Schizosaccharomyces pombe: one gene and its partners. Changing the gene in region 1 together with any one later gene gives a genetic interaction. Each region holds a gene or a part of one and is shown in the gene's direction. Other genes may lie near its edges. The genes, in order: pck2, its3, ptc3 and ptc1.

Evidence for each region.
Region 2: mutations in pck2 (region 1) and its3 are lethal when combined (synthetic lethality), as found in Schizosaccharomyces pombe (one study listed by BioGRID).
Region 3: of pck2 (region 1) and ptc3, extra expression of one rescues a mutant of the other (dosage rescue), as found in Schizosaccharomyces pombe (one study listed by BioGRID).
Region 4: of pck2 (region 1) and ptc1, extra expression of one rescues a mutant of the other (dosage rescue), as found in Schizosaccharomyces pombe (one study listed by BioGRID).

The regions. Positions count from the first base shown.
Region 1 is NC_003423.3:2,308,589-2,315,002, reverse strand, and holds pck2 (protein kinase C (PKC)-like Pck2), read left to right. Parts: upstream 1-1,994; 5' UTR 1,995-2,165; coding exon 2,166-5,216; 3' UTR 5,217-5,566; downstream 5,567-6,414. Other genes in the region: SPOM_SPBC12D12.05C (calcium-binding subfamily carrier protein), read left to right, coding at 1-334; DNA polymerase zeta Rev7, read right to left, coding at 527-726, 796-899, 948-1,063, 1,106-1,218, 1,259-1,309, 1,353-1,379, 1,429-1,459; chaperonin-containing T-complex alpha subunit Cct1, read right to left, coding at 5,567-6,414. UniProt on the Schizosaccharomyces pombe protein: Involved in the control of the cell shape. Target of the inhibitor staurosporine.
Region 2 is NC_003424.3:4,070,418-4,075,536, forward strand, and holds its3 (1-phosphatidylinositol-4-phosphate 5-kinase Its3), read left to right. Parts: upstream 1-1,718; 5' UTR 1,719-1,958; coding exon 1,959-3,709; exon of another isoform or gene 3,710-3,762; coding exon 3,763-3,874; exon of another isoform or gene 3,875-3,877; intron 3,878-3,970; coding exon 3,971-4,336; 3' UTR 4,337-4,619; downstream 4,620-5,119. Other genes in the region: protein Poz1, read right to left, coding at 1-196, 234-339; trehalose-6-phosphate phosphatase Tpp1, read right to left, coding at 4,850-5,119. UniProt on the Schizosaccharomyces pombe protein: Catalyzes the phosphorylation of phosphatidylinositol 4-phosphate on the fifth hydroxyl of the myo-inositol ring, to form phosphatidylinositol 4,5-bisphosphate. Involved, together with the calcineurin ppb1, in cytokinesis.
Region 3 is NC_003424.3:819,233-823,767, reverse strand, and holds ptc3 (protein phosphatase PP2C catalytic subunit Ptc3), read left to right. Parts: upstream 1-1,983; 5' UTR 1,984-2,063; coding exon 2,064-2,391; intron 2,392-2,639; exon of another isoform or gene 2,640-2,649; coding exon 2,650-2,723; exon of another isoform or gene 2,724-2,762; coding exon 2,763-3,605; 3' UTR 3,606-4,000; downstream 4,001-4,535. Other genes in the region: SPOM_SPAC2G11.09 (Ca(2+) transporter), read right to left, coding at 1-29; smn1 (SMN complex subunit Smn1/Gem1), read left to right, coding at 919-1,279, 1,339-1,436; AAA family ATPase Vps4, read right to left, coding at 4,118-4,535. UniProt on the Schizosaccharomyces pombe protein: Dephosphorylating regulator for many key proteins. Has an important role in osmotic stability and cell shape control. It may negatively regulate the osmosensing signal transmitted through wis1 map kinase.
Region 4 is NC_003421.2:2,002,468-2,006,893, forward strand, and holds ptc1 (serine/threonine protein phosphatase PP2C catalytic subunit Ptc1), read left to right. Parts: upstream 1-2,068; 5' UTR 2,069-2,211; coding exon 2,212-3,255; 3' UTR 3,256-3,925; downstream 3,926-4,426. Other genes in the region: GATA-type transcription factor Ams2, read left to right, coding at 1-1,015; SPOM_SPCC4F11.03C (uncharacterized protein), read right to left, coding at 4,265-4,426. UniProt on the Schizosaccharomyces pombe protein: Serine and threonine phosphatase. Has a specialized role in the heat shock response. May be responsible for the dephosphorylation of hsp90.

The DNA.
Region 1 (6,414 bases):
GATAGGTATCTTAGCAAGTCGTGACAATGTCGATCCACAAGATGTGAAACTTCCTAATGGTTTAGTGATGGCATTTGGAGCACTTTCTGGAAGCACTGGCGCTACCATAGTGTTTCCACTTAATGTCATACGTACTCGTTTACAAACGCAAGGTACGTCTGCACATCCTGCAACATACGATGGATTTATAGACTGCTTTTACAAAACTACAAAAAATGAAGGTTTCCGTGGGCTTTATAAAGGATTGTCTCCTAATTTGTTGAAGGTAGCACCTAGTGTCGCTATTTCATATCTGGTATATGAGAATTGCAAAAAATGGTTGGGCCTAGAGTAAGGCACATTTTCTAACTATTTATAATTCTTATTGGTAGGGACCTTTACTTCAAAATTAATAATTCTTTCATTGATAATGATAATCCTTTATCGCAAAACTGATTCTTTATTTACTTTACCTAATCCCCTCTTATTTCATAGCAGATACCCATTTTTCTTGCACTACATTCTGAAAAGAAAATTAGAGATACCTCTAATCCGAATTTGTATATTTCTCGACCCAAATTTCCGTCATCATTGGTCCAATATCCACATTTCGAACAGGAATGGTGATGCCCTTAAATTGCCTTGTTGCGTCTGTTTCTCTCGCTTGCGGCGGAAGAAACCACTCTTCCCATTGTTTTGGTCTGGGAAAACCATCTTTTAGCGTTACCCGAAGCGTCCAAGTGCATTCTAATTTCAGTATTATTAGAATTGAATTTAGTAATAGAATATTTTTTTAGAAAATAATACTGTTTATACCTTGTTCAATAAGAGGAAGTCCATTTGTTATATTGAGTAATTGGATGAGCGAAGCTCTCATGTATTCAACGTAAGCATCTGTGAATGGCTCATTTGTTGAAATTCTACAATATTGTTAAAAGATGCCTATGCCAAGCTAATGATAGTCATACTGTTTCTCAAGTAAGAAATCAGGAATAATCGGGATAGAATCCGTTGAAAAGACATATCGTTCCTCTTCTCGCTGCTCTTTGTTAATAATAGAGAGTGCAACTTGATGTACTGATCCCTAGACGAGCAGTTAGAAAAAGAATTGGATGACTAAGAATACCGTCTGAAGCTCCTCGATACAAGATTGCACTACTTCTTCAATATATTCGCACAAGATCGGATGCCTTGATTGCCAGACAATTGTATTGTATTTTCGAGCTTTTATAAAAAGGTCTAATATGAGAGTTAAATCAAAAGCTAAAAAATCGAATACCTTGAGGATAGAGTCTTCTAGCGTAAAGAATACAATGAATGCTTACAAGCACTGAATTGTAAGCAAAAATGGAAGTTCAAAGTTGCACACATACAAAATTCTCCAAATATATCAATACATTCTAATAGTTTAGCAAGCAAAAGACCCAAATAATCATACTAATAACATACTTTTCACAGACCATCCTGTGTCGTTTTCCATCAGACATGAACGATACGATGATTACTATATTCAAAAATTTCTTAATATGTTCGTTCAAATTCGAGAATTCTATCTTTTCTGAATGAAGCGAGAAAATAAATAAATTATAAAGTTATTAAACCAAAGATATGCAAACTAAAAGAATATCAGCAAACATAGTAATTACATGGATTACAATAACGTACCCGCGATTATTGACGGGATTCCGTAAAACTAACAAAAGACAAATAAGATAGCTGGATAATGAACTGTTCTATTAATTGGTCAATATTTTTTTATTTTGCGTTATTACAATTTTAGCATCAATCAAATAAAATTGGACATGTGACAAAAATATTTATGGGGTAAAGTTCTGTAAAATCGTTATTTTCAAGATTAACGTGCCAAAATCCTTCGAAATTATAACAGGGGTCGCTGAAAAATTTGCCCATATATTTCAATAAATTTTGAAAAAGGAATGGAGTGGTGGGATTCTTTGAATTGCTTGCGAAATCCCTGCGAGCTTGCCAGTCTTACTTCATAGCTACCGCCTTCCAACTACTAAACGTACGAAAACATCGAAAGGACTAAAGCGGGTGTTTACTAGCATTTTATCGAGCTTAAAAGTCTTAATGAAATCTTATAATCACATTAATATTAAAAACGGAAGCGAAAAATTGCAGATAAGAAGTTAAGCGGAAAAATCAGGATTAGGCCATTTAAAGTAATGGATATGATTGATGAGGCTATAACAGAAGTTGTTAGGAAAATTGAAAGAGAAAGATCAGTTATTCATGGCGCCCTTTCCATGAAGCGCTTGACTCAGAATCAGACAGTTCACCAACAACTTCATAGCAATATTGAAGAATCAAAAAAGAGCATTATTTATTTAGAAGAACGCTTAGAAAAACTAAAGCTTCGCAAAAATGGTGTCCGAAAGAGTAATTCTGAGAAACCGTCCGTTGGCATTGAGAAGAATCCATCCTTTAGCACTACAAAATCCGCTAAAAGCTTTTCCTCTACTTCTTCTAATATCGATTCTAACTTGGATTTGCTAAATTATGATACCCCTCTTACTATTTCAAAGATATCATTCTTATTACAACAATTGGAGTTCAAATTATCTGTTGAGGAACAATATCGAAAAGGTATTGAAAAGATGGCAAAGCTCTATGAGCGTGAACATGACCGTCGTAGTATAGCTGAAGCAGAGAAGAAGTATGTAGAAAGTGCTCAAAAGATTACCTTACTCAAGCAAGCTTTGAAGCGATACCATGACTTGCATATCGAAATCGATGAGGAAGATGTTCCCAGTACGGAAAGTAGAGGTAACTTAAATGCCCGTCGTCCCCAGTCTGGTCTCCTTAAAATTACCGTAGGATCTCTAAGGAACGTCACGCATTCTGCTGGAATCTCCAAGCAAACGGAAATGATAGTTGCAATTCGTGCAGAGGATCTTGAGCGTGCACGTACTCGTCCAAGCCGCACCGACCGTTTTAATGAAACTTTTGAAATTGATCTGGAGAAGACTAATGAGGTCGAAATAGTTGTTTACGAAAAGAAAAATGAAAAATTGCTATTACCTGTTGGTTTACTTTGGATACGGTTATCGGATTTAGTAGAAAAACAAAGGCGAAAAAAGGTTGAACAAGAGGTTTCAGATAAAGGTTGGGTTAGTGCCGACAAAATGATTAATCAAAGACTTTCAATATTTTTACCTTCTGCTCTTAATAATATTTCAAAGCCTGAAAGTACTGACCGCCCCAACACAGCTAGCGGTAATCAAAGTGTGAGTGCTTGGTTTTCTCTTGAACCCATGGGACAAATTAATTTGACCATGAATTTCACAAAGCATAATACAAGGAAGAGACCTATGGATGCTGGCCTCGGTCGTCAAGGTGCTATCCGTCAACGCAAGGAAAGCGTACACGAAGTTTATGGTCACAAATTTCTACAACATCAATTTTATCAAATTATGCGTTGTGCTTTATGTGGAGAGTTTTTGAAGAATGCTGCTGGTATGCAGTGCATTGATTGTCATTACACCTGTCATAAAAAATGCTATCCAAAGGTAGTTACTAAATGCATTTCAAAGTCTAGCGATTCTGCTTCTAGCGAATACGAGAAAATCAACCATAGAATTCCTCATCATTTTGAATCTCACACAAACATAGGTGCTAATTGGTGCTGTCACTGTGGCTACATCCTTCCTTTAGGAAGAAAAACTGCCAGGAAATGTACGGAGTGTGGAATAACTGCGCACGCTCAGTGTGTTCATCTTGTTCCGGATTTCTGTGGTATGTCTATGGAGATGGCTAACCGGGTTATTTCTGAGATTCGTACAACTAAAATTTATAAAGCTCAACAACATAAACAGAAAAGTTCACATCACAAGCATCATCATCATAAAAAGTCTAAGTCTTCATCTTCGAAACATAAGGAAAATGACAAAGCATCCGTTTCTATTACAACCACCACAACACCATCTATCACTCCTGCAGACCCTGTTCCAACTTCTCCAAAACCACTGGCAATTGAACCGGTTAAAAGAAAGCCTGTACATGCCGGTAATTTAGAAGTGACATCAGTCTCTGATAATAAACTTGGCGCTACAGTTCAGGTTGTCGAGCAGAAAGTGGATGACAAAGCTGATGCGTTGACGAAACCTCCTTCCCTAGATGCTGTGAAAGAGCCAATCCCAGTACCATCAGTTGAAACCTCTGTTGTTGCTCAAGACCTAACGCATAAAGCTAAGCGTATCGGACTTGAAGACTTTACTTTCTTATCTGTGCTAGGCAAAGGAAATTTCGGTAAAGTAATGCTGGCTGAGCTTAAAAGTGAAAAGCAATTGTATGCTATTAAAGTTTTGAAAAAGGAATTCATCTTAGAAAACGATGAAGTCGAAAGCACTAAATCCGAAAAACGCGTTTTTCTCGTTGCCAACCGAGAGCGTCATCCATTTTTGGTAAACCTGCATTCTTGCTTTCAAACCGAAACCCGTATTTACTTTGTCATGGATTTTGTGAGTGGTGGTGATTTGATGCTTCACATTCAACAGGAACAATTTTCACGTAGAAGGGCACAGTTTTATGCTGCTGAGGTGTGTCTTGCTCTAAAATACTTTCATGATAACGGTATCATATACCGTGATCTTAAGCTTGATAATATCCTTTTAAGCCCAGATGGTCATGTTAAAGTGGCCGATTATGGTTTGTGTAAGGAAGACATGTGGCATGATAACACTACTGCCACGTTTTGCGGTACTCCTGAATTTATGGCACCGGAAATCTTATTAGAACAGCAATATACGAGAAGCGTTGACTGGTGGGCTTTTGGTGTACTAATTTACCAAATGCTGCTTGGTCAATCTCCATTTAGAGGAGAAGACGAAGAAGAAATTTTTGATGCAATTTTATCTGATGAACCTTTGTATCCTATTCATATGCCAAGGGATTCCGTTTCTATATTACAACAACTTTTGACTCGCGATCCTAAAAAACGACTTGGATCTGGCCCTAACGATGCAGAAGATGTCATGACTCATCCATTTTTTAGTAACATTAATTGGGATGACATCTATCATAAGCGAACTCAACCACCGTACATTCCAAGTTTGAATTCACCTACGGACACCAAGTATTTCGATGAGGAATTTACCCGAGAACTCCCAGTTCTTACTCCTGTTAATTCTATTCTGACGAAAGAGATGCAGCAACATTTTGAAGGTTTTTCTTATTCATGCGAGGATGATAAACCCTCGACTACCGATAATGCTTAGCACCTTAAATTGAGCATAAAGTTACTCTCATTTTCTTAATCTTTCATTGCATTGATAAATTATTCTAATTTCGACTTTTTAAACTAAACATTTTTGGATTTCTTTACTACCTGGGTTGTATCTATGATATTATAAGCATGCACATTAATAATCCATACAGTGGCATTAGACTTTTGTTTATGAAAGCACTAGCAAAGTAGTAATTTACTGAGTTTAATAATTTACCGTTTATTGGTCAACAGCTATAGTGCTAATATATGTTAATATCCATCGCATTTGTATCTATGGAGCAAAATTTTTGGATACATTCAATGAAACCCGCCAAATATACCTATGCTTAAGTAATTGCTTTAGTGCAACCCTGCATGTGGGTCTTCTGGTTGTCTTTCGGGATCAAGTTTGATACTAGTATCGATACGTAAAATAGCAATGCATGCCTCAACGGCGCTCTTCAAACTTTTCAACTTAGACATGGATGGCTCAAGAACACCAGCCTTAACATTATCACGAATTACGCCATTAAGTAAATCAAGACCATAATTTTTGTATCCCCGTTTCTTAACATCTGTAACCTCAGCATTTTGACTGGCTGCGTGATAAGCACGCAACTTAGCTGTCAGTTCAGTAGAGTCTTTGGCGGCATTGACGGCCAAAGTTCTGGGAATAATTAACAAAGCTTGTGCAAACTCAGCAATTGCAAGTTGCTCACGAGAGCCCAAAGAGGTAGCAAAATTTTCCAAGTAAATGCTCAGAGCTGTTTCCACAGCGCCGCCACCAGGAACGACTTTGCCGCTCTCAAGAGTGCGTTTGACGACGCTTAAAGAATCATGCATTGAACGCTCCATTTCATCTAAAGAGTATTCATTGGGGCCTCGCAGAACAATTGATGCAGACGAATAAGCTTTGGTTCCTTTGACAAGAATACATTCATCATCCGAAAATTTTTCTTGAACAACCTCTTCAGCCGAGCCCAAGTAGGAACTTTCAAAGGTTTCTTCACCCTCTAAATTTGACAATGAACTGAGTAAGGTAGCACCGGAAGCCTTGGCGATACGTCTCAAATCTTCCTTTTTGCATCTACGAACAGCCATTGCGCCAGCTTCAATAATGGATTTCAAACAGAGATCATCAATGCCCTTTGTGGTAAGAATAACATTGGCACCCGCATTGAGAATTTTTTTGACGCGTTCCAGCGTAA
Region 2 (5,119 bases), on another chromosome or scaffold:
TCTAAAGCATTGCTAATAAGAGAATATTCCCAAAGAATTTGTTGACTATCCGGCTGAGTTTGGGTAATCGGAAGGTTTTGAAATGAAGAAGGGTCAAGCGAAAGATTGAAGCAATACTCAATGAATGCGATATCCATGAATATCGGCATTTTTTCATGACACATTGATTTCGAATAACCCAAATATCGTAAGCAGGCTAATTGGTTAATGATTTTCAAGATTGGCTTTCATACCGTTCACAATGGAAGATTCTTCTCTCTGCATATCATAATGATTTTCCTTGATGAAAAACGTTTCTAGTGTATTCAGCACAGATTGTGAACGAATCTTCTCATTCATTTTATGGAAAAAACTAATCTATACACGAAGGATAAAAGTATAAAAAGTTGGTAAAGTCAATGTAAGTTGGTCTACGAGATAAAATGAATACCATTCCGTAAGAGAAAATAAATCATTTAATAAAGAAATCTAAAAACGAATGGATCGAATAGCTTTGTCTACTGTTATGTTTCTTGGAACATCGTACAGAAGACGAATTTAACTCCTTAAAGAAGTGTATTTTGTTTAATGTTATAAATTATTCCCTTAAACAGTGAACTGCTTTATCCAAAAAAGCGGTAAGCAAAATTTCCAAATGAAAAAAGTATTTGAATGGAAGATCGACTTTGGCGTGACAAAAGAATAAATTTTACTCTCCATTTTAAGTCCTTCATTTTCATAACGCTATGCCAATTACCTTGGATCACGGTGGTGTTTGTGCCTTAAGACATGAAAAGCTTACGAAATAAACATGCTTTAGGCGATTGATCATTTCTTCCAAGATATTTTTCCTTATTCAATCTCAAAAATTACTCTAATTTGTTATTTGCTAGAACTAAATGATCCATCTGATTGAATGTTTTTACTACCCAAGCCTCTTAAGATTCTATCCGAAGTTCTTTATTTACTTGTGCACAAAACCCGAAGGAATGGGAAAAGCAATTATCTATCTAGTAAGACAAAAAACATTAGATACTGTCCTTTGATTATAATTTCAATGGATTCTTAAAGTTGAATATTCAGTGCTAGCTTCTTTATATTATAGACATTCAAAGTAAACTTGAGAACGAAGAAAAGGAATATTGGATATTTCCTTTTTCTTTTTGTTAAATATATATATATATATATATTTTTGGAAAATAAAAATAAATTGATATGTTTGAAATAAACGAAGTATACGTTATGTGTATCTTACTTTAATTTTTTTTAACTTTATTTTATTATTTATTTTTTTTTTAAGGAAATTTCAAATCTTTAGATTTTCAAAATAGCTCAATCATTTGCTGTACTTATCCATGCAAGCTTAATCATTATAAATTGATTAATAGAGGTTCTAAAAAGTAAGCCTTTATAAAATTGGATTTACAGCATCCAGCTCTTCACGCAACACACCCATATCGATGCTTTTGTTTACGTTGAGCAGATTCGTTTTGTTTACATTCAACGAAATCGACGTTGTCAACGACTTCAAACATCGCAAGCTTATGGACTATTCGCAATAATGGAACTGGGTTTCAGAAGTTTTTGGCTTGGTAAATTCGGGATTGCTCCTTTCCCATACAGAAAGCGATAATTTTATCCATTTACTGCCATTAGTGCGAATTATTGGAGAATGTGCCGGACAATTCGGTGAACTCCGGTGACTTTATATATCTAGGGAAGAAACTGGTAGAAACAACACTTCGCTGGTATCAAGTGTTTTGCGGTGAAAGAGTTGATAAAAAAGAGAATTAAGCTGCTCTTTTCGGTAAATTAAAACATTTTGAATAACTTGGGAAAAAACTTGCTTTTGTAGGAACTGAAAAACGACGAAATTGACGTCTTCAAATTGTTTGTTAAAAAACGGAATCAAAAATTGTGTTTGGAGTCCATTGGCGAGTAAATTTTTAACTCTTCATATATGTTTGTAGGAAACACTAATGAAAATTGATTCAAACGGCATAGTGAATCCGCATTCTATAACGAACGAAATCCCTTCGTATGATGAAAAGCAGGCTGTCGATTTGAATGGGAATGCTTTTGCTCCAAATGGTACGTTTCAAAAAAAGGATTTGATATCCCATAAAAACGATTTCGAACGTACGATGCGCCACGATGTTCTTCATACCAACCCCAAAATCGAAGTTCGGTCGGAGACCCATATTTATGAACCTAACGATTCATTATTTAAGGAAAATCAAGATTTCCCCTCAAATCCCACTGCCCACTCTCCTTCTTCCTCTTCTAACGATTCGGTAATTACGGCTACTGGCGTACCTGATGGTATCTTGAGAGATTCTCCCATCGTAAGTGCCCTCGAGCCTCCTTCCTCCAATTCTTCCTCTTCTCCCCAATTACAAAATTTAAAGCATCAATTATCCTCTCCTCAACCTTCTCGCGCCCCCATAGATCGCTCTTCCTCCAACCCTGTAACCTCATCTCAGCAGCCACCTAATGATCGTTCCACGCTCAGCTCCTCGCAGAAGGCGAAGCGGCCGCTAAAGCGATCTTACTCCGAAAAAAATTCTAGCAACGCTGAACCTTCTGGCTCGAGATCCGGCGACCGAGGTACCAACGTCAGTACCTCGGGTTCTCTTTTGGATGGCATTCCCCCCGATATTGGCTCTGCTAGCTGGGCTGAAGCAGTCAAACAAAAACGTGTTAACATGCGCCGTCGCAGGGAAGAACTGGACGATGAGTGCGTTCTCGTTGGAACTAGAGTTTCAGAGGGCCATGAAAACTATGTTACAGCGTACAACATGCTTACTGGAATTCGCGTCGGTGTTTCTCGTTGCCAAGCGAAAATGGACCGTGAGCTTACTCCTGCTGATTTTACTGCTCGTCACAAGTTTACCTTTGACATTACTGGCAACGAACTCACTCCCTCCGCCAAGTATGATTTTAAGTTCAAAGATTATGCACCTTGGGTATTTAGACATCTAAGGCAGCTGTTTCATTTAGATGCTGCAGATTATCTTGTATCTCTTACCAGTAAGTACATTTTGTCTGAGTTAGATTCTCCTGGGAAAAGTGGTTCTTTTTTTTATTTTTCTCGTGACTATCGATTCATTATTAAAACAATCCATCACTCTGAGCACAAATTTTTGCGTGAAATTCTTTATGATTACTACGAACACGTCAAGAATAATCCGAACACATTGATTTCGCAATTTTATGGGTTGCATAGGGTAAAATTACCCTTTGGCCGAAAAATCCATTTTGTTGTAATGAACAACCTTTTCCCACCTCATCGTGATATCCACCAAACTTTTGATCTCAAAGGATCCACCCTAGGAAGGGAACTCGACGAAAATCAACCTTGTCAAAGTCCCATGTGTACAATGAAAGATACAAATTGGATTCGCAGAAATATGCATCTTCAGTTTGGTCCTTTAAAGCGTCAGATATTCTTAACTCAGGTCAAAGCCGATATTGATATGCTGTCCTCTTTAGGAATTATGGATTACAGTTTACTTGTCGGCATCCATGACCTTTCACGTGGTAATCGTGACAAAATTCGTAATAGCATTCTGTCAGTTTACGACCCAAATGTGTCGCAACATCGAGTGCCCTCGATTAATGGCAATGAATCTCACTCAAACGTTCATGTAATCAGACAAGTCGTTAATAGCACCGGTCCTGTTTCGTTGGATCAATCTTGTAATCTATTGCCGACCGACCAGTTCGTTGAGTAAGTGCTTATTATTTTTTTAACAATTAGACTATTTTTTAACACTATTTTAGGAGAAGAAACTTCATGTTCTACAGTGATGACGGTGGATTCCAAGCCACCGATGAAAACAATGAGCCAGGAAACTTTATCTTTTATATCGGAATAATTGACTTACTTACTAAGGTATGATAAATTGCGTAAATTTTTTTATGGGAATGCAAAGTCTTTTACTTGTTTTCCTTGTTTGCTTTTATTTTCATTATACTTACCGGTGTTTAGTATTCATATGTTAAGCGCGTTGAGCATTTATGGAAGGGCATTAATCATTCAGATTCTGTCATTTCTGCTGTTCCACCTGCTGAATACGCTTCACGCTTCTACAAATTTGTAGAGTCAAGTATTAAGCCAACTCTTTTAGTTTTGAAACCATTCCCCTTAAAACCGCAGGATGGCCAGCGTGTTAACAAACAGCAAAGCGTTAATGCTGGCAATGTGCGCACTAATAACAAGCATGGTTCTCTTAATAATAATACAGCTCCTTCTTCTCGCAATGCTAAAAGCACTTCTGCTCATAAATCACCCAAAACAGAACACCGATTTCCATTCCCATGCCGCAATGTTACTACGAACACTTCTTCATCTTAATAAATTTTAATGTCTTTGAAGTGCACATATTTCAAGTTTAATGCATTTATTTATAATGCTTTACCACCTTTTTATTCTTGTATATATTGGCTAATTTATCTTTTTATTTTAGAGAAAAAACAAAGCAAAGCATGTATGCCGAAGTGCATTAACGGATGCACAACCTATAACTTATTGCTCTAATTAGCGCTTTTATTATTTACATCTCAAATAACTTATGTTCGTCAGTTCCTCACCAATCTTTGTCAAAAAGCTATATTATTATGATATAACTTAAAATTCATTAGGAAGAAAGTATGCTTTTGTAACGAGTAAACGTATGTACTTAGAAAAGAGCGATTCATAGTAGTGGAAGTAGTTCAATTACGAAGACCTCTCAACTAAACATAAATAACTAGAGCATAAATTAATTTAAAGGCTGAACTAAGATCCAGGATTGTGTGTCTCAATAAATAAATCTTTGTAAAGAACAAGATGAATCGGGCATCTTCGTTGAAATAGTTAGTTTGTCATTCAGTTAGTAAAATTTGCCAAATCAGCAAGGATATCAATAACATTTGCAGGGTCTGCGATACACCAGTCGGCGATAGAAAGCTTTTTGTCGGATCCAATGGTAACTGCAAATGAAGTTTCCTTGTTAATACGAGTGTTTTTATGCAAAGAGCGGAACATATCTTCATCAGTTCTATCATCACCTGCACAAAAGATAAAAGAAGGAAGTGAATCTTCTGGATACGAACTTAAAATCTGTTTGACAATTCCTCCTTTGTTGATACTGGAAGG
Region 3 (4,535 bases), on another chromosome or scaffold:
TCGAAAATACCATATCCATTGAAAGCCATTATTGCAAAGTAGCAAACTTAAGGGTCCTTTCGTCAAATTATCGAGGAATGAATGAACGATCGTTTCAGAAAATCGAGAACAAGAAAAATCTGATCTATCCAAGTATTATATGCATGTAAAAAGTAACGGAAAAAGGAAATTATCAAAAGATACACTATTGAAATATGTTATGATAGTTTTTCATGAACGAAAATCTTTAAAATATGAATGTATGTAGAGGAGGGATAGTAGAACGATACTCATCCAATACCCATTCGCATGGTCTTTCAGAATGCGATATGTACTTAACGTAAATTAAGATGACGATGCATAAAAATATGTAACGTAATTACGTGGAGCTACCTTAAATTCAATTAGGTAGTTTAAAATCTATCCCAGAAAGCTAACTTACTGAGAAGTCCTCGCTAAACCATATTAGCGCATGTAGCATTTAATGAATTATTCGTGTGGATATTAGATAACTGATTTAGGTTGATTTTTGTAGCTTATACAATTCCTTTTTCTTTTTGGTATAATAAAGCCAAAATCGTAAACAAAGATGAATTGGAATAAACATTCTTTCACAATACTTCCACGAGTTCACATCGCCATGTGCGAACCTCGTTATATCTTTGACCTCGAATTCTTGTAGTCCTGTCCACTAAGGCGGCTGATAGTTAAGGCAAGGAGCTAAGTTACCACAGCAGATTATAATTGTTGTAGTAAGCGGAATCGCCGAGCTCAAACTGTTTATCGTTATACGCGTTGTGCTTTATAAACAATATTTTCACTTTAATAATATTCAATTAATATAAGAGTTAACAAAGTTGGAAACTACTTGTTAATAAAGCTTTCTTAAGGTACAAAGAAAGACATACAGGAATAGATTATCTACAACTTGTACCAAAAATGGACCAGAGCCAAAAAGAAGTGTGGGATGATTCAGAGCTCAGAAATGCCTTTGAAACCGCTTTACATGAATTCAAAAAGTATCATAGTATTGAAGCAAAGGGAGGAGTATCGGACCCGGATTCTAGGCTAGATGGTGAAAAATTAATTTCAGCTGCACGGACAGAAGAATCAATAAGTAAGCTAGAAGAAGGTGAGCAGATGATAAATCAGCAAACAGAGACGACATTGGAAGGAGATACACATATCCAACAGTTTGCAGATAATAAAGGCCTTAGCGACGAAAAGCCTGAAACAAGGGCAGCAGAGACACATCAAGAGTTTATGGAAGTTCCTCCCCCTATAAGAGGGTTAACATATGGTAAGTAAAAGGTCTTCTAAGAAAATTTATGACTCTCTATTATTAACATAATGATTTAGACGAGACTTACAAAAAGCTTATCATGAGCTGGTACTATGCGGGCTACTATACAGGTTTAGCTGAAGGACTTGCTAAAAGTGAGCAACGTAAAGATTAGCTTCTTGTGCTATTTTTCAAAGTTATGTATATCTTCATTGTTGATGTTGTTATAAAACTGTTATCCTACTTGCTATTGCTAAGATTTATTACTCCTATCAAATAGTTCTATTTCAATTTTCTTTCTAATAAGTAGAATTTATTTGGTCATTTATTAAATCCAATGGAATTTTTAATTGAATCAAAATAATATCATTTTTGCCTAATAGAAATTTTTTCTGAATCAAGTTGCTGAATTTGTTGGGGCATTCTACTCAGCGTTGTTTTTGTCTCTATTGTAGTCATAGTAAAATGCAAACCATTGAAAAATCAATTTATAGGATATGCTATGTTTACACATGTTTTTTAATGAACATTTGAAATTTATAAGTATTTAGTCCTTGATACCATTTATTCTGTTGTTTACATATATGCCTTGACTACTGCTAATCTTGTTACCTTCCATAGTCTTTTAACAACTATCGTTCGTCTCCACGGTGGTGATGTAGTTGTAGAGGGTGCCACAACACTCCCTCCGACAAGCTCCACCACCTACTAGCGATTTACCTATCACTACTACATAACCCGTTTTGAAGCGACACAAAAAGAAAACGTGAAAATTTGTGTCATCTATTAGCAAGAGCTGTCAATGGGTCAGACATTATCAGAGCCAGTCACCGAGAAGCACTCGGTGAACGGGAGCAATGAGTTCGTCCTTTATGGACTTTCAAGCATGCAAGGATGGCGTATCTCAATGGAAGATGCTCATTCTGCTATACTTTCAATGGAGTGCTCTGCAGTAAAAGACCCGGTCGACTTTTTTGCGGTTTATGACGGCCACGGTGGAGACAAAGTCGCGAAATGGTGTGGAAGCAATCTTCCTCAGATTCTTGAAAAGAATCCTGATTTTCAGAAAGGCGATTTTGTTAATGCTTTGAAATCTTCATTTTTAAATGCTGATAAAGCTATTTTGGATGGTAAGTTTGTTGTTAACAATGATAAAGTTGTTTTCATTGATATCATAACCATTTTAAAGTCGCCAAAAAATTGATGAATTTTGTGTTTGAAATTTTTATAGATTTTTTGTTCTTTTGTCTAGTTAATGCTTAGAAAAATTGTTACCAAGATAATAGAAATGTTTACCTCTTGATGTTGAAAAGTTGTTACATTTAGTTTGGTTTCAGAAAAAAAATTTGTCATTTCACTACATTGCATTTTGCTAACTATTTTGACAGATGATCAATTTCATACGGATCCATCAGGTTGCACGGCCACTGTTGTTCTTCGTGTTGGAAATAAACTTTATTGTGTAAGTCTTGGAAGTTGTTTAGTCTTACTAATTGTGTAGGCTAATGCCGGTGACTCAAGAACTGTCCTTGGCAGTAAGGGAATTGCAAAACCTCTATCAGCAGACCATAAGCCTTCAAATGAAGCCGAAAAAGCCCGTATTTGTGCGGCTGGTGGCTTTGTAGACTTTGGCCGTGTAAATGGAAATTTGGCTTTGTCAAGAGCTATCGGTGATTTTGAGTTCAAAAACAGTAATTTAGAACCAGAAAAACAAATAGTTACTGCCTTACCGGATGTTGTTGTACATGAGATTACTGACGATGATGAATTCGTCGTACTCGCTTGTGATGGTATTTGGGATTGCAAGACTTCGCAGCAAGTGATCGAGTTTGTTAGACGTGGCATAGTTGCTGGAACCTCTCTTGAGAAGATTGCTGAAAATTTAATGGATAACTGCATAGCCAGTGACACCGAAACTACCGGCCTTGGTTGTGACAACATGACTGTTTGTATAGTTGCCTTATTGCAAGAAAACGATAAATCAGCATGGTATAAGAAGATTGCAGATAGAGTTGCCGCTAACGACGGACCCTGCGCTCCTCCTGAGTATGCCGAAAATCATGGCCCAGGATGGCGTAGTGGCGATAACAATAAGAAAGTTATTGTCCCACCTAATTTTCATCAAGTAAAGTTAAATGGATCTGATGGATATGACAAAGATGCGAATGAAAATTCTAAGGAAGATGATTCCACCAACGGATCCCTTGCAGCTGGGTTCAGATGGAAAGAACACTTTTTCCCTCATAAAGCCGAGGAGGAAAATTCTTCAAGTGAAACCGATATCGTAAATTCTAACAAAGATGTTGCGGATGATCATAAGGAGGCTGTGTCTGCAGCAGATTGATTATTCCCTACTTCACGCATATTACACAATGTAACTTGCTTTTAGGAATATTCCTCGTAATTAGCATTATTTGTTGACTTATTATAAAAGTCACGCTAGGCGGTTTTGTTTCAACATTTTTTCATGCTTTTCTTTTGTTGTTCGTATAATACGTGCCTGCGACGTATACCGATTACCTCCGAGAATGAAAAGGTTTTTGGTACGTTGCTACTTTGCACTTTTTGATAGCATGCGATTTCTATATCAATTTTGTCGAATACTGTCTTTTATAATCCTGATTCAAAATCAGTTAAGATTATGGAAAATATTTCTCTGGCATGAGTAAACATACCCAGACTAATTTCCGATTGCCCTAATAGATATTGTCGAAGCAATATACATTCCCTTCAATATTCTACTAGTTCCATAATTTACTAAAGTGATTCAACATTTGTGAGTGTAGTCATGATATTATACTTCTTTACAATAATGGTATCATTAAACTAAGCGAAAATAGCTCCTTTATCATATTACTATCCCTCTGCTCCAAAGTCCTTTGTAAATTGTGTGTGCTTTTCTATATCACCAGCATTAAGCGTAGGCTTGACTTTACGAACTGCACTGTAGAAATCTCGAACAGTAAGTTTTGGTTCCATAATGTCTTCAGGATTCACCTCTAGCCAACTAGATTCAAATGCATCAGGATCACCAGGAGAACAAGGAGTTACAAGGGTCCTATTAGACTTGTTATCATATACCTCTTTGAAATGGGTAGCTGTGTGAATTCGTCTTACAGGCTCCATTATTGCATCACGAACAACAATAGAAATATCTGAACCCGAGTAGCCATCGGTCATTTTAGCAAGTTCTTTGAAATCTTGTGAGGTCAGTTCCGAAGGTATTTTACCGACATTAAGCTCGAACATCCGAGCGCGGGCATGAGCATTAGGC
Region 4 (4,426 bases), on another chromosome or scaffold:
CAATTGGCGCAATGCTACGTACATGAACATAACTTTGATGCTTTGTAATGCATGTGGTATATATTGGACGAGTCGGCGCTCGATGCGTCCAAGAAATTTATGGTCTACCTATAAAGCATTTGAAACAGAGAAACCGTTGGAAAATGATGCATTTGCTCAGCTTGAGTTAGCCGTATATAAACTTTCCCAGCAACGAAAACTATCTATATCCATCTTCCGTGAGCTTGAAAATGCAGGACGGCACTCTCCTCTGAATAGACTTACGTCTTTAGACTCAACACACTCTGCACCTGATCCCAATCATATCTCAAAACCCTCTGTTGTTAATCAGCAGAAATCCAGAGGAGGTCCCCGTACTGCTAAGCTGAAAAATGACCTCAGACGCATACAATCATCTCCCATTGTTGCACCTACTCCTGATACATCATTTCGTGAGCCTTTATCCGAAATTGGGTCTAATGATAGTTGGCTGGTATTACCAAATTCACTAAGTGCCAATATACAAAATGATGTTTTAAGAAAAACTGATTTCATGTGTACTGACAAGGAAAACGTCGCTTTTCCTTTGAAAACCACAACAAAGCCTATGCCTAAAGTAAATAAAGAAGAGACAGAGCCAACTCTGCCTGTTTGCGATTCAGAAAAAGAAAATGATGATTTAGAGTGCTATTTCAGAACCCCTCCAAAACCAACTACCTTACAAAAGCAACAACAAAGTCCATCACCCTGGAGGTCAGAGTTATTTTTGTCTGACCCTGACCAAAACGTATTGACACCAAGGCATAAGCCAAAGTTTGATTTATCAAAGGCATTGTCTTCGGTTGCAAAATCCAATAACATTGAGAATTCACCTCAATTACCAGAAAGATATGATTTTTCTTTAGAATTGGGGTTGAATTCTCAACTCGATAATGAAGAAAGACGCGATATTCCTCTGATGACAGATTTGGTGATGCCAAGTAGTCCGCCCATGGTCCCTGCTGACAGGCATTTATCCGTTGAAAACACTTGTTGAAAGAGCGATAAAGGCGTACCTTTGCTTCACACATTACCCTTGTTCTTTAATTTTTTGTTTTATCAAGAAGTCATGTGTGATCAAAATTGACATCTTTCATTATTCGAGTCTTCTTGCTTTTTTATGATTTTTATTTTGATAATGACATCCTTAATTCGTTTTCTTAACCGCAAAAAAATGATTGTTGCTGTTAAAGTCCTTACTGCGTAAGAACTCCCAAGGCATGTCCCCTCAAATCCGTCCTTCGTTCTTTTTATTTCTAAAGCAATTTATTTTATTTTCTTTCATACCATGAGCCGTTATTACCTCCCCCTTGATTATTAAAATATTTCAAGTCGTTGCTTATTGTTGGCGGCATAGCCAAGAGCATGCGACAAGCATTCTATAAATCTTGTCGCAAAATAGAAGTTGGACACTATTTCTTTTAATCTTCTCAAATGTTCTTCGACTTCATCTTTGAGGCTCGGTTTATGGAAATTTTGGATACTTCGTGATAGTTCTGTCTGTTTTGCTTATACAAACAAATTATAATTTCATTAATTGTATTATGAAAGCCGATATGGACAAAGCCACATCCTTATTTTACATACGGAAAAAGTTACTTTTAATTATTTATATGAACACTGTTATTCTTGTTAGCATGTTTATGTTGCGAAACGTTTCTAATTGATTATTATGGGTAGACCGGATAATTGATATTTAGCAAATTCACTAGACGAACACATGACAAATTTTTTTCAGTAATGCGAACCAAAGTCACGCGAAAGCAAGTGTAAAAGTCGAAGGATTTCAATACATGGTTCAATATTTTTGTCTAGAATAAATCAAACGTTTAGTTCATATATTCAAAACAACAGCTTATTGCTGCTTACTATTTCTAATTTTCTAATAGCCTTTTGTTAGCATTTTTGTATTATAATGTAGTTCAATGCAGAGCGGATAACGGTTTAGTGGAAGTTAACCTAGTACGTAAAAATGATTTCCGAAGATCTCGGTATACCACGCGTGACGTAAATGCCCGAGTTTATTAGCACTGACTGACTTAACAAGTTTATACTTACGCAGAAACCCAAGGAAAATCGGTGTTTCTCGTATATACTATACAATCAGCAATTTTATACCTGATATTATAATTGAAGGTATTTAGTTAATTTGAAAAGCAATTTTTTTGTCGGTACTGAAGTGTTTGAACGAATATGAAGGGAAGCCATCCAAATGCAGGTTCCCTGTTGGAACCACTTCACAAGTTGAACCCATTTTCTGAAAATTCTACAAGTGGACATCGAAAAAACGCTAGTGATCATTCGGCGGATGGAGAAACTCGACCGATTGCAATTGAGATGAAGGATAGTAAAGGCAACACAGTCCCAGTTGGTAACTCGCGCCCTAGTAAAGCCTCTAACTGGCTTGCTGGACTGATGGAGGATAAAAACCAAAGATGGCGTAGGTCTATGGAGGATACTCATATTTGCTTGTATGATTTTGGGGGTAATCAGGACGACGGCTTCGTTGCCGTTTATGACGGACATGCTGGCATTCAAGCATCTGACTACTGTCAGAAGAATCTTCACAAGGTACTTTTGGAAAAGGTTAGGAATGAGCCGGACCGGCTGGTCACAGACCTAATGGACGAAACATTTGTCGAGGTCAACAGCAAAATTGCAAAGGCTACTCACAATGACATTTGCGGTTGTACCGCTGCAGTTGCTTTCTTTAGATATGAGAAAAACCGCACCCGCCGTGTTCTCTACACAGCTAATGCAGGTGATGCACGTATCGTATTATGCCGTGATGGTAAGGCTATTCGACTTTCTTACGATCACAAGGGATCCGATGCCAATGAGTCTCGTCGTGTGACCCAGTTGGGTGGTCTCATGGTACAAAACCGAATTAATGGCGTTCTTGCTGTCACAAGGGCCTTAGGTGATACCTATCTTAAGGAATTGGTCAGTGCGCATCCCTTCACCACTGAAACCCGAATCTGGAACGGTCATGATGAGTTCTTCATTATCGCTTGTGATGGCTTGTGGGATGTAGTATCGGATCAGGAAGCTGTCGACTTTGTTCGCAATTTCGTAAGCCCTCGCGAAGCCGCTGTTCGCCTGGTAGAATTTGCATTAAAACGTCTTAGTACAGACAATATCACTTGTATTGTAGTTAACTTGACTCGCAATCCCGGTGATCTCGATGATTCAGGACTTACCGCTGATAATGATTCATACAGTAATGACTATTATTAGGTATTTGATGGATTCAATGATGTGCTTTCTGTTGTTTCGTAACGGTTTTTCGATGTCTTTACCTCATCCACAGTACTTGTTTGGAAGCCGGAATGACTTAATCCTATTTTTTTGTTTACCAAGCACTGTAATTGCATCGATTCTTTTCCTTTATTTATGGACCTTGTATTCTCATTTGGACATGGTTTTCCTTTGGGTCGACTTATTTTTTCTAATTAATTACTCTTCTTTTTATAAACCACTTTGTGCATGTTTCTCTTGTTCTTCTTTTTTGTCTAAAAGTAATGTGTCTAAATATCGATCCTAAATCTGTCCAAATCTAGTTTCTTTTTTCTTTTTTCATGATTTGCTACCTTTTCCTCCAATCTGCGTGCCACTGTTCGAATCAATCGTATATTCATCATTAGCCCTCTTCATACCCATTTAAAGGTACAAACATTTCACTCTTTTTAAGGTTCTTCGTGAGTGTTTTCGGTATTTTTATTTACAATTGCTTCGCAAATATTATGAATGTACTTGCGTGCATGCATTGGTGTTTATAACAAAGGCTATACGTTCACCAAAAAAAATTTATTTTACCCTTTTATCGTCTTTAATTTTCGATTTAAAAGTCGAATTATAATTATTATTCTGAAGTTACGGGTTGTCTTTATTTTGTCCCGTTCCTGCTAAAATACCATTTGCACGTAAAAATATATATACATACACTAATTGTACCAAGTATTCGAGATTTTAGCATTGGCCTAAACATAGGAAAAAGACAACGCTTTTCTACTTACTGTCTCAACTCTAGTTTTCATACATAAAGGTGCAGAGCAATACAATCAAATGATACTCACCGGATAAAGACATGCAATTGTTTTTTATAATTACCGTTTATAGGTTTTTTGTTGAATGATCTGGAAATGAATGACTATAGTAATAGATAATAATACATGAAAAAAACATTGACAAATTGAAACAACCACGTTAAACCGATCATACATAGCTGAACTGAAGTCAACTCAACTCATTTTGTCATGGTGAAGTCAAAGTTCTCACCAAACAAGTCATTTATGCTTTCAGTGGTTGGAATGTCTGTAGGAAGATTTAGAGCGTTGTCAAACGTATTAGTTAAATGCGAAGCAAAGCTGCCATCATTACCGAACGCAGCACTGTAGTTTTCTTGTGC